Xenopus tropicalis: one gene and its partners. The protein of the gene in region 1 interacts with the protein of each later gene in a pairwise test. Links are inferred from orthologs where the notes say so. Each region holds a gene or a part of one and is shown on either strand. Other genes may lie near its edges.

Region 1 (4,140 bases):
TGTTACCATGTTACCCAGTGCAGTCCTATATGATTTTTGGGCATGCTTTTTAAAATCAGTAAATACAAATGTACCACAACCAATGATATGCGATATTTCTATATGTAGATAAGATGAGCTTAACAATACAGAATGTGTAAAATTGCTTACTGGTCATGTGTAGCAAGATGCTCTTTGCTGTAGCGTGTATCTTTCGCATACTTTATAAGCATGCACTTGTACTGTGCAATCTGAAACCGTCGCACTCTGCGCATCAGCTCTGTGCTGTAAAATATACAGAAAATTTGTTCAGCAGAATAGGAAAATAAGCAGTCTCATGCGATGACATACAGCAGTTAAAGGACAATAAACATACTTTTTTAAAAAGGCTTACTATAATACATACTGCAGCACTCTAAAAATGGATGCAATGTGAGCAAATACCAAACAGCACCACCATCCATTCAAAAAAAAAAAAAAAAAAAAAAAAAAAAAAGAAGAATTGTCCCAACGCAGACCAAGACTGATTCCCCTACTGCCCTCCTTCCAAAGCACTTTAGCCCATTGGAAGTAGCGTGCCCCATTGCCATAGCAACACACTGTTCTCAATAAGGAACATCTAGATTACAGCTCATGAGAGAGAATATAGAATTGCGCGGTCCTTTGAACTCACCTTTTTCCAGAAAACATTGGCCCAAATATCACCTAAAAGTAAAAACAAATGGGTTTGAAATACAAATTAACACACAAACCAACTATAGCAGTCATGGTATATACACTTTCATTTGATGGACATGTATACTTTTTAACATCTTTTATCATTAACCATGTAGCTAATTTGAGCATTTTGTGTTCTTTGGGGCATTTTGTCTTTTAGTTTACATATTGAAACTGCCCATTGCTTTGTTAGGACAACCTTAACATTCTCAGAGTCTTTGTGCAACTCCACTTCTGTAACATGATAAAAATAATTTCTATACAATACAGAAGTATATATCAGAAGCATTTTATATTTCACTGATCTGGAAGGCCCCATGTCTCCCGAATGAGCCAATACCAGAATTCTGACTTGTACAGGTCATAAATTCCAAACATAAGCAGGTTTTCAAAGCAGTGCAGCAGAAATCAGCATACAATTGCATGGCCAAATAATTTCCAGTGGTAGCAATGCTTTGCTAAAGTGGATTTCTAATAAATTTTAGTAAAAACTAACTCAAACCTCTCTGTATTTTATCTTCAAAATGTGATAAAGGTACCATTGTATGGCACTATAAATAGGACGGGTCTTCTGGCCCTGTATCCATACAAAGGTTCGCCAAAGACCGTGAAATGTAAAGGCCCCAAAATGAAAATAATAAATAAAATAGTCATGGCAGTCTCTTCAACTACTTCAAAATTAGCACACAGACCAGATTTTTACAATACTGCTTGTTTCCTAGGGGCTGGAGAACAAAGGAGCAGCATAAACGCCGCTCTCCTCCCCACCTGTGAGTGCGGCAGAATGTAGAATCTATGTTGTGGAATGTAGAACCTTTTATCTACAGAATGTGTATTCAGTCAAACCTTTGTTCAAAACACAATTCTGCATTCCATCCTTTGCCAGCATTAGTATTCTATTTATAGATAAACTCTGTAAGAATGCATATGATATATACCCAATCCCAACTACTACAACAGTGATCCCCAACCAGTGACTCCTGAGCAACATGTCACTCCCCACCCCCTTGGATGTTGCTCCCAGTGGTCTCAAAGCAGGTGCTCATTTTTGAATGTCTGGCTTGGAGGCAAGTTTTGGAATCACAGAGACACAGTTTTACTTCAAGCAGAGCCTCCTGCAGGCTAGCAGCCCACATGGGGCTATCGAATAGCCAATCACAGCCCTTATTTGGCAACCCCAAAAACCTTTTTCATGCCTGTGTGGCCCACCAACACTTTTTACAGCAGAGTGTGGCTCACAAGCAAAAAAAGGTTGGGGATCCCTGTACTAAGACACTGGGAATAGTCTTTGCCAACACTTTATGGGGCTCACATACAAAAGAAAGTGAATTCATTGTGTGCCATAAACCCCCCTAGAAAATAACCCTGAATATCAGGCTCAGACTGCCAATCTGCAGATTTTGGTACATGCCACAAACAGTCACTATTTCTGGAGCCTGTCCCTGGCTGTTTAGGCCTCTGTGTGCTTGAAATAGCAGGTTCTGTTTTGAATCCCAGCCCCTATGATGCCATATGTGCCACTACCCTAAAAACCAGAATTCTTAGCAGTCTTTCCACTTACTGCTAGAATTATTTGGCACACACCATAAGCTTCAAGGGCAGGGATATATTTTGTTTTGTTCTTTCCAGGCACCAGAGTGCAACCCCTAAGGCTGCCACATTTGGTACATGCCCTTGGGTACTTATATAAAAATGATAACCCCACTAATAAGGAACAAAGTCCCTGCCCTGTACAGTTGCACTTAAATATATACTTAACCCAAATGTAAGTCTATATACAAGATGTATGTCTGGGAGCTGCATGATGCAGTGTGTTGTGCCTCACAGCCCTTGGTGTATAATACTGAGGGCAAATATAATCTATACATGCACCTGAGCCCACTATTAATACACGTTCCCTTTAGGGGGCCTCTCATAAAGATGTGTTAGGCTAGATACAACACAAAAACTCCCTTGCAGCTGTCATATAACAAGAGTGCTCAGCCAGTTTCTCCTAGAACTACAAATCACTTCACTTCATGACAAGTCATCTGGAGAGTAAACTGCATGGCTAAATGTAATGCTGTGCCCGGCTTACCTGGATCTGGCCCCGGGATTTGCTGGGCGAGCCTGGCATGATTTCGGGTACGTTGAGGCAATTCATATCGGTACCAGGCGAGAGCAGAGCGCGGGAATGACTGTGTCCGGTACAGTCACTTCTTTCAATACAACGTCTGTGCATTCTCCCGCGCAGCTCTGTCCAATCACAGGCGGCGATGGTGTACGCTAGCCAATGGGATTCTACAGCCCCCGCTGTTATGAAGATGAGGAAGGAGGGGATTCAGCTTTCACTGGTTGGCCTGGTGTTTGGCAAACGAGTTGGAGGTGGCGGGAAAAGAAAATTAAATAAACATGAATTTGTAACTAGTGGGACCCTGTAATGTAAATGTTCTTTTCCAGTTAGCGAGGGAGTATGCAAGGGTCAGTTGCATATAATATGAAGGAAAGCTTGCGGAACGCTTCAATGAAATCTACCGCTGATACCGCAGCGAAATCCTGTTGTGGGTTGTGGCACTTGTTAGAACGATGGCTGACGCGTTTTGGCACTAGTATTACGCTTAGCCTGTATGTTTAAAGAAGTGCTTCACAATTTTAATAAAATCACCCCCCCCAACTCTGTCCCTTTTGCCAAAGTAAGAATTTTTGCAATAGAAGAAAATACATTTTTAAAAAAAAAAAAAATTGTGCCAATAGCAGATATTTATTTTCAGAGAGAGCTTTCCCAGCTAATAGGGGCTCCATGCCCCGCTAATAGGGGCTCCATGCCCCGCTAATAGGGGCTCCATGCCCAGCTAATAGGGGCTCCATGCCCCGCTAATAGGGGCTCCATGCCTAGCTAATAGGGGCTCCATGCCTAGCTAATAGGGGCTCCATGCCCCGCTAATAGGGGCTCCATGCCCAGCTAATAGGGGCTCCATGCCCCGCTAATAGGGGCTCCATGCCCCGCTAATAGGGGCTCCATGCCCAGCTAATAGGGGCTCCATGCCCAGCTAATAGGGGCTCCATGCCCAGCTAATACGAGCTCCATGCCCAGCTAATAGGGGCTCCATGCCCAGCTAATAGGGGCTCCATGCCCAGCTAATAGGGGCTCCATGCCCCGCTAATAGGGGCTCCATGCCCCGCTAATAGGGGCTCCATGCCCAGCTAATAGGGGCTCCATGCCCCGCTGAAGGTCTCTGACTTTCTCCTTTGTCATATTACCTGCTATTACTGCTACTGCCCAGTTTCTCACTACTTTGTTTGTATAGTATTAATCAGATTGTCAGGAAGTATAATATCATACCTCCCAACATTTGAAAAATGAAAAGAGGGACAAAAAGATTTGGCACGCGCAGCACGGCAATTTTTGACCACGCCCCCTTTTGTGGCCACGCCCCAATTACCACATCCCATTTTTAAAAAAAT
Region 2 (4,004 bases), on another chromosome or scaffold:
TATTTAATTAAATAGGTAGCTTTTGGCAGAGAGCCCAGAAAGTTAACAAGCTTCACCTGCACTGAGATACAGTGTTTTCCATATTTAATTAAATAAGTAGCTTTTGGCAGAGAGCCCAGAAAGGTAACAAGCTTCACCTGCACTTAGGTACAGTGTTTCTAACATTTCATTAAATAAGTTTTTGGCAGAGAGCCCAGATATCTTAACAAGCTTCACCTGCACTTACATACAGTGTTTTCCATATTTAATTAAATAAGTAGCTTTTGGCAGAGCCCAGAAATCTTAACGAGCTTCACCTGCACTTAGATACAGTGTTTTCCATATTTAATTAAATAAGTAGCTTTTGGCAGAGAGCCCAGAAAGTTAACGAGCTTCACCTGCACTGAGATACAGTGTTTTCCATATTTAATTAAATAAGTAGCTTTTGGCAGAGAGCCCAGAAAGTTAACGAGCTTCACCTGCACTGAGATACAAGTGTAACTAATAAGCTAAACGGGTCTCTTGGGGGAACTGAGACTTTTGAACAAAACTGTAATAACACATAAAACCCCCAGAAATGTGTTCAAACTTTAACCTGCCAAATGTAGTCACATGGGAGAGGTACTTAGGGGGTGTGGTCACAAAAATGGGCGTGGTCAACAAATGTTGCTGCATTTCCTTTTGTCCCTCTTTCCATTTTCAAAACGTTGGGAGGTATGTAGTATGCACATTAACAAGCAACACTGTGTCACTGTGACTATATACAGTCAGTAATATAAGTGAAAGTGTCCCTATGTATACACACAGCAGCACAATGGCTGACTCCTCCCTACATGGGAGCCAAGTGGCGCTAAATCGCTCAGACCAAGCGCAATAAAGATACATTCAGCCTCAGTTCTGAGCCCTCTCTGCCTCTAACACTGCGGCCCTAACACCCCGCTAAGCGGCGACTCAGAACCATACACTTCCTCTGAGAAAACAAAAGCTTCCGCTCAGCAAACCGGAACTGGGATTTTTTTCTAGACTGGCCGGAAATCGCGTTGCCGGAAGTGGCACAGGAAGCAGAGGCGCTATTGGACGTGACGCGCAGAGCCAATGCAAAGAGCCAATGAGTCCGGGCGAGGAAGGAGTGGCTTCCGGTAGGCTGAGCCGGGAGAGCAGTAAGTGTTCCGTACGGTGCCAGTAGGTTGGGGCTGTGGGTGGCGGGCTCGGCGGGAGCAGTGCGGCGCGGAGAGAGTGAGGGGCCCTGTGTGTGCGGAACCGGAGAGTGTGTGACTGAGCCCTGAGCGGAAAGGGCGGGAATCCGGGGCTCCATCAGGGGGCGCAGTGTTACTGTTTGTCAGGGGAGGGGCGGTGTCAGCCCGACAGGGGGCGCTGTGTGTATCGCGGGGAATGTCAGTTTGGGGAATTATTGCTTTATATTTCCCCCATTTGGGCGCCGTACTGCGGCTTCAATAATCCGGGCCCACCCATGTCTCAGTTCCAGCAGCTGGGGGTGAACTCCCAGGAGAAAACCGCCCCCACCCAGAGGTAAGTGCCCCTAGCGGTGCTGTATATACCCAAGCCTGCTGCCCCCTAGCGGTGCTATATATACCCAAGCCTACTGCCCCCTAGCGGTGCTATATATACCCAAGCCTACTGCCCCCTAGCGGTGCTATATATACCCAAGCCTGCTGCCCCCTAGCGGTGCTATATATACCCAAGCCTGCTGCCCCCTAGCGGTGCTATATATACCCAAGCCTGCTGCCCCTAGCGGTGTTATATATACCCAAGCCTGCTGCCCCCTAGCGGTGCTATATATACCCAAGCCTGCTGCCCCCTAGCGGTGCTATATATACCCAAGCCTGCTGCCCCCTAGCGGTGCTATATATACCCAAGCCTGCTGCCCCCTAGCGGTGCTATATATACCCAAGCCTACTGCCCCCTAGCGGTGCTATATATACCCAAGCCTACTGCCCCCTAGCGGTGCTATATATACCCAAGCCTGCTGCCCCCTAGCGGTGCTATAAATACCCAAGCCTGCTGCCCCCTAGCGGTGTTATACCTACCCAAGCCTACTGCCCCCTAGCGGTGCTATATATACCCAAGCCTGCTGCCCCCTAGCGGTGCTATATATACCCAAGCCTACTGCCCCCTAGCGGTGTTATATATACCCAAGCCTACTGCCCCCTAGCGGTGCTATATATACCCAAGCCTGCTGCCCCCTAGCGGTGCTATATATACCCAAGCCTGCTGCCCCCTAGCGGTGCTGTATATACCCAAGCCTGCTGCCCCCTAGCGGTGTTATACCTACCCAAGCCTACTGCCCCCTAGCGGTGTTATACCTACCCAAGCCTACTGCCCCCTAGCGGTGCTGTATATACCCAAGCCTGCTGCCCCCTAGCGGTGTTATACCTACCCAAGCCTACTGCCCCCTAGCGGTGCTATATATACCCAAGCCTGCTGCCCCCTAGCGGTGCTGTATATACCCAAGCCTACTGCCCCCTAGCGGTGCTATATATACCCAAGCCTGCTGCCCCCTAGCGGTGCTATATATACCCAAGCCTGCTGCCCCCTAGCGGTGCTATATATACCCAAGCCTACTGCCCCCTAGCGGTGTTATATATACCCAAGCCTGCTGCCCCCTAGCGGTGCTATATATACCCAAGCCTACTGCCCCCTAGCGGTGCTATATATACCCAAGCCTACTGCCCCCTAGCGGTGCTATATATACCCAAGCCTGCTGCCCCCTAGCGGTGCTATATATACCCAAGCCTGCTGCCCCCTAGCGGTGCTATATATACCCAAGCCTGCTGCCCCCTAGCGGTGCTATATATACCCAAGCCTGCTGCCCCCTAGCGGTGCTATATATACCCAAGCCTGCTGCCCCCTAGCGGTGCTATAAATACCCAAGCCTGCTGCCCCTAGCGGTGCTATATATACCCAAGCCTGCTGCCCCCTAGCGGTGTTATACCTACCCAAGCCTACTGCCCCCTAGCGGTGTTATACCTACCCAAGCCTACTGCCCCCTAGCGGTGCTGTATATACCCAAGCCTGCTGCCCCCTAGCGGTGTTATACCTACCCAAGCCTACTGCCCCCTAGCGGTGCTATATATACCCAAGCCTACTGCCCCCTAGCGGTGCTGTATATACCCAAGCCTGCTGCCCCCTAGCGGTGCTGTATATACCCAAGCCTACTGCCCCCTAGCGGTGTTATATATACCCAAGCCTGCTGCCCCCTAGCGGTGCTGTATATACCCAAGCCTGCTGCCCCCTAGCGGTGCTGTATATACCCAAGCCTACTGCCCCCTAGCGGTGTTATATATACCCAAGCCTACTGCCCCCTAGCGGTGCTATATATACCCAAGCCTACTGCCCCCTAGCGGTGCTATATATACCCAAGCCTACTGCCCCCTAGCGGTGCTATATATACCCAAGCCTGCTGCCCCCTAGCGGTGCTATATATACCCAAGCCTGCTGCCCCCTAGCGGTGCTATATATACCCAAGCCTGCTGCCCCCTAGCGGTGCTATATATACCCAAGCCTGCTGCCCCCTAGCGGTGCTATATATACCCAAGCCTGCTGCCCCCTAGCGGTGCTATAAATACCCAAGCCTGCTGCCCCCTAGCGGTGCTATATATACCCAAGCCTGCTGCCCCTAGCGGTGTTATACCTACCCAAGCCTACTGCCCCCTAGCGGTGTTATACCTACCCAAGCCTACTGCCCCCTAGCGGTGCTGTATATACCCAAGCCTGCTGCCCCCTAGCGGTGTTATACCTACCCAAGCCTACTGCCCCCTAGCGGTGCTATATATACCCAAGCCTACTGCCCCCTAGCGGTGCTATATATACCCAAGCCTGCTGCCCCCTAGCGGTGCTGTATATACCCAAGCCTACTGCCCCCTAGCGGTGTTATACCTACCCAAGCCTACTGCCCCCTAGCGGTGCTATATATACCCAAGCCTGCTGCCCCCTAGCGGTGCTATATATACCCAAGCCTGCTGCCCCCTAGCGGTGCTATAAATACCCAAGCCTGCTGCCCCCTA
Region 3 (4,055 bases), on another chromosome or scaffold:
GACAGTAGGGCAAGATGGAGACAGTAGGGCAAGATGGAGACAGTAGGGCAAGATGGAGACAGTAGGACAAGATGGAGACAGTAGGACAAAATGGAGACAGTAGAACAAGATAGAGACAGTAGAACAAGATAGAGACAGTAGGGCAAGATGGAGACAGTAGGCCAAGATGGAGACAGTAGGGCAAGATGGAGACAGTAGAACAAGATGGAGACAGTAGGACAAGATGGAGACAGTAGGGCAAGATGGAGACAGTAGGACAAGATGGAGACAGTAGGGCAAGATGGAGACAGTAGAACAAGATGGGGACAGTAGGCCAAGATGGAGACATTAGGGCAAGATGGAGACAGTAGAACAAGATGGAGACAGTAGGGAAAAATGGAGACAGTAGGGCAAGATGGAGACAGTAGAACAAGATGGAGACAGTAGGACAAGATGGAGACAGTAGGGCAAGATAAAGACAGTCGAGCAAGATGGAGACAGTAGAACAAGATGAAGACAGTCGGGCAAGATGGAAACAGTAGAACAAGATGGAGACAATAAAACAAGATGCAGACAGTAGGGAAAGATGCAGACAGTAGGACAAGATGGAGACAGTAGGGCAAGATGGAGACAGTAGAGCAAGATGGAGACAGTAAAACAAGATGGAGATAGTAGGGAAAGATGGAGACAGTAGGACAAGATGGAGACAGTAGGGCAAGATGGAGACAGTAGGGCAAGATGGAGACAGTAGAGCAAGATGGAGACAGTAAAACAAGATGGAGATAGTAGGGAAAGATGGAGACAGTAGGACAAGATGGAGACAGTAGGGCAAGATGGAGACAGTAGGGCAAGATGGAGACAGTAGGGCAAGATGGAGACAGTAGAGCAAGATGGAGACAGTAGGACAAGATGGAGACAGTAGAGCAAGATGGAGACAGTAGGGCAAGATGGAGACAGTAGGGCAAGATGGAGACAGTAGAGCAAGATGGAGACAGTAGGGCAAGATGGAGACAGTAGGACAAGATGGAGACAGTAGGGCAAGATGGAGACAGTAGGGCAAGATGGAGACAGTAGGGCAAGATGGAGACAGTAGAGCAAGATGGAGACAGTAGGGCAAGATGGAGACAGTAGGAAAAGATGTCAAGATGGAAACAGTAGGGCAAGATGGAGACAGTAGGGCAAGATGGAGACAGTAGGGCAAGATGGAGACAGTAGAGCAAGATGGAGACAGTAGGACAAGATGGAGACAGTAGAGCAAGATGGAGACAGTAGGGCAAGATGGAGACAGTAGGACAAGATGGAGACAGTAGGGCAAGATGGAGACAGTAGGGCAAGATGGAGACAGTAGGGCAAGATGGAGACAGTAGGGCAAGATGGAGACAGTAGGGGAAGATGGAGACAGTAGGGGAAGATAAGGAATGAAGGCAAGGTGGTGGGTAGGGTAAGACTGGGCCGGTAACACTGTGTGACAGTAACCGTGGTGCCAACCTGTAGCCCTTCAGTTGTTGTTGAAGTGGCAGAAATCACATAGTTACACAACAGTGGGTGAGCAGAAGGTTGGGCCGTATTATTGTGTATAAATAATGGGGGAGACCTATTGTGCCATGGGACCTACTACCCTGAATCAGACCTGGCAACCAGCATTCCCTTGTGCCCAGAGGTGCCATTGGCCCCTGGCCCGTAGCTTTAGAAATCCAGATACATTTTTTGTTACTAACAGGTAAGTGGGCACCACTGCACCAACCCCTTCCGACCAATCAGCAATTACACTTACACTATATCTGTCGACTGCAGGCTGACACCTCTAATTGGTTGCTACGGGTTACTGCATTGGTGCAGTTTTGCCCATTGTTAATAAATGTGTATTTCTATGTATGTGGGGGCTGGAGGGCCACGGACTGATCTCCCCCCATTTTACCTTCCAACTGGCGGCCACCTTGACCCTTTAGATTGTGAGCTCCTGAGTCCAGTATTTTGCATGTCGCTTTTACAGAAGCCTACACGCTTTAGCACCACCCGGCGAGGTAGGGTGTCCCTCTAGACTGTAAGCTCTTGAGACAAGCCTTGTATGCTGCACAACCCTATGGGCTATGGGTTTATGATTATGGATTATTGATTATTATGGATATCGGTGTCATATGAAGAAAACAACATTAACCCCATGCAGGACCCTTCAATCTATATTGGATCCCCCCCTCCCAGCCCCCCCAGCCCTAGCACAACTGCCCCTGCTGATGCCCCATCCGCCCCCGCTTCCAGATCAATACCTACTCCCTGCGCACCCATCACACGTGAATTAACCCCTTCGCTGCCACATGAAGCGTTGGGTTGGTGGGGGCAATTCATCACAATAACCCCCCCTGCCAAGCCAATAGAAACATGACCTGAATCCTTCCATGCTGCCCCCCCCCCCGTGCCACTATAGAGAGGGGCTCCACCCAGTCCAGCTGTGCCCACTGTCTGCACCTTTCCTTTCACCCCTTGCCCTTAGGCAACGTCGCCCACCCAGCACCCACCCCAATATGGCCCTGTAGAGCCCCCTCACCTGAGCACCCAGCAGAAGGAGGCAGCTGGCAGGCAGAAGGCTGGACTTTAGTCTCTCGGATGCACCCATGGTTCCTTCTCCTGGGGGAGTGATGCTGATGGAGCAGGGAGGACCAGTGCCGCTGAGGATGTGCCTGTGGCACCCTAGGGTGGCTCGCCCTGTGTGTGGGTCTCTGGGTGTCACGGAGGCAGTGGGTACATGTGTGGCTGCCAGTGGCACTGGGTATCTCTATGGGTCTGTTCCTCACAAGCCTCGTTCTGCTATACAAAGACGTGTCCCATCCCCCTCCTCATCTGTCTCTCTCTCCCTCTCTCTCTCTCTCTCTCTCTCTCTCCTCCCCTCTGTCTCTTTCTATCTCTCCTCCCCTCTGTCTCTCTATCCCTTTCTCCTCCTCCCTCTCCTCCCAGCATCCAATCTCCTTCTACGGACATTTCTATCATTCTCCACCAAACCAGAAGGAAATGGCATGAAATATTCAGGAGCCGAGCGACAGACGGAGACAGGGGAAAGTGTTGGAAGGGTTACTGCCTGCCCTGCTCTCATTTCCCTACAGAAATAGGGGTTGGTAGCACTAGGTAGGTACCTAATATATAGGGGCAGAGACAGGGGAAAGTGTTGGAAGGGTTACTGCCTGCCCTGCTCTCATTTCCCTACAGAAATAGGGGTTGGTAGCACTAGGTAGGTACCTAATATATAGGGACAGAGACAGGGGAAAGTGTTGGAAGGGTTACTGCCTGCCCTGCTCTCATTTCCCTACAGAAATAGGGGTTGGTAGCACTAGGTAGGTACCTAATATATAGGGACAGAGACAGGGGAAAGTGTTGGAAGGGTTACTGCCTGCTCTGCTCTCATTTCCCTACAGAAATAGGGGTTGGTAGCACTAGGTAGGTACCTAATATATAGGGACAGAGACAGGGGAAAGTGTTGGAAGGGTTACTGCCTGCTCTGCTCTCATTTCCCTACAGAAATAGGGGTTGGTAGCACTAGGTAGGTACCTAATATATAGGGACAGAGACAGGGGAAAGTGTTGGAAGGGTTACTGCCTGCTCTGCTCTCATTTCCCTACAGAAATAGGGGTTGGTAGCACTAGGTAGGTACCTAATATATAGGGACAGAGACAGGGGAAAGTGTTGGAAGGGTTACTGCCTGCCCTGCTCTCATTTCCCTACAGAAATAGGGGTTGGTAGCACTAGGTAGGTACCTAATATATAGGGACAGAGACAGGGGAAAGTGTTGGAAGGGTTACTGCCTGCTCTGCTCTCATTTCCCTACAGAAATAGGGGTTGGTAGCACTAGGTAGGTACCTAATATATAGGGGCAGAGACAGGGGAAAGTGTTGGAAGGGTTACTGCCTGCCCTGCTCTCATTTCCCTACAGAAATAGGGGTTGGTAGCACTAGGTAGGTACCTAATATATAGGGGCAGAGACAGGGGAAAGTGTTGGAAGGGTTACTGCCTGCTCTGCTCTCATTTCCCTACAGAAATAGGAGTTGGTAGCACTAGGTAGGTACCTAATATATAGGGCAGAGACA

The links. The genes of interacting proteins can lie anywhere in the genome.
Region 2: the proteins of tk1 (region 1) and lrif1 interact in a two-hybrid assay, tested with the Homo sapiens proteins (2 studies listed by BioGRID and IntAct). The link is inferred for Xenopus tropicalis from reciprocal best matches to the Homo sapiens genes TK1 and LRIF1.
Region 3: the proteins of tk1 (region 1) and aplp1 interact in a two-hybrid assay, tested with the Homo sapiens proteins (2 studies listed by BioGRID and IntAct). The link is inferred for Xenopus tropicalis from reciprocal best matches to the Homo sapiens genes TK1 and APLP1.

Annotation. Positions count from the first base shown.
Region 1 is NC_030686.2:26,185,850-26,189,989, reverse strand, and holds the start of tk1 (thymidine kinase, cytosolic), read right to left. Parts: upstream 2,858-4,140; 5' UTR 2,840-2,857; coding exon 2,774-2,839; intron 685-2,773; coding exon 653-684; intron 265-652; coding exon 151-264; intron 1-150. UniProt on the Homo sapiens protein: Cell-cycle-regulated enzyme of importance in nucleotide metabolism. Catalyzes the first enzymatic step in the salvage pathway converting thymidine into thymidine monophosphate.
Region 2 is NC_030678.2:178,774,879-178,778,882, forward strand, and holds the start of lrif1 (ligand-dependent nuclear receptor-interacting factor 1), read left to right. Parts: upstream 1-1,156; 5' UTR 1,157-1,450; coding exon 1,451-1,509; intron 1,510-4,004. UniProt on the Homo sapiens protein: Together with SMCHD1, involved in chromosome X inactivation in females by promoting the compaction of heterochromatin.
Region 3 is NC_030683.2:128,757,641-128,761,695, reverse strand, and holds the start of aplp1 (amyloid-like protein 1), read right to left. Parts: upstream 2,849-4,055; 5' UTR 2,594-2,848; coding exon 2,525-2,593; intron 1-2,524. UniProt on the Homo sapiens protein: May play a role in postsynaptic function. The C-terminal gamma-secretase processed fragment, ALID1, activates transcription activation through APBB1 (Fe65) binding. Couples to JIP signal transduction through C-terminal binding.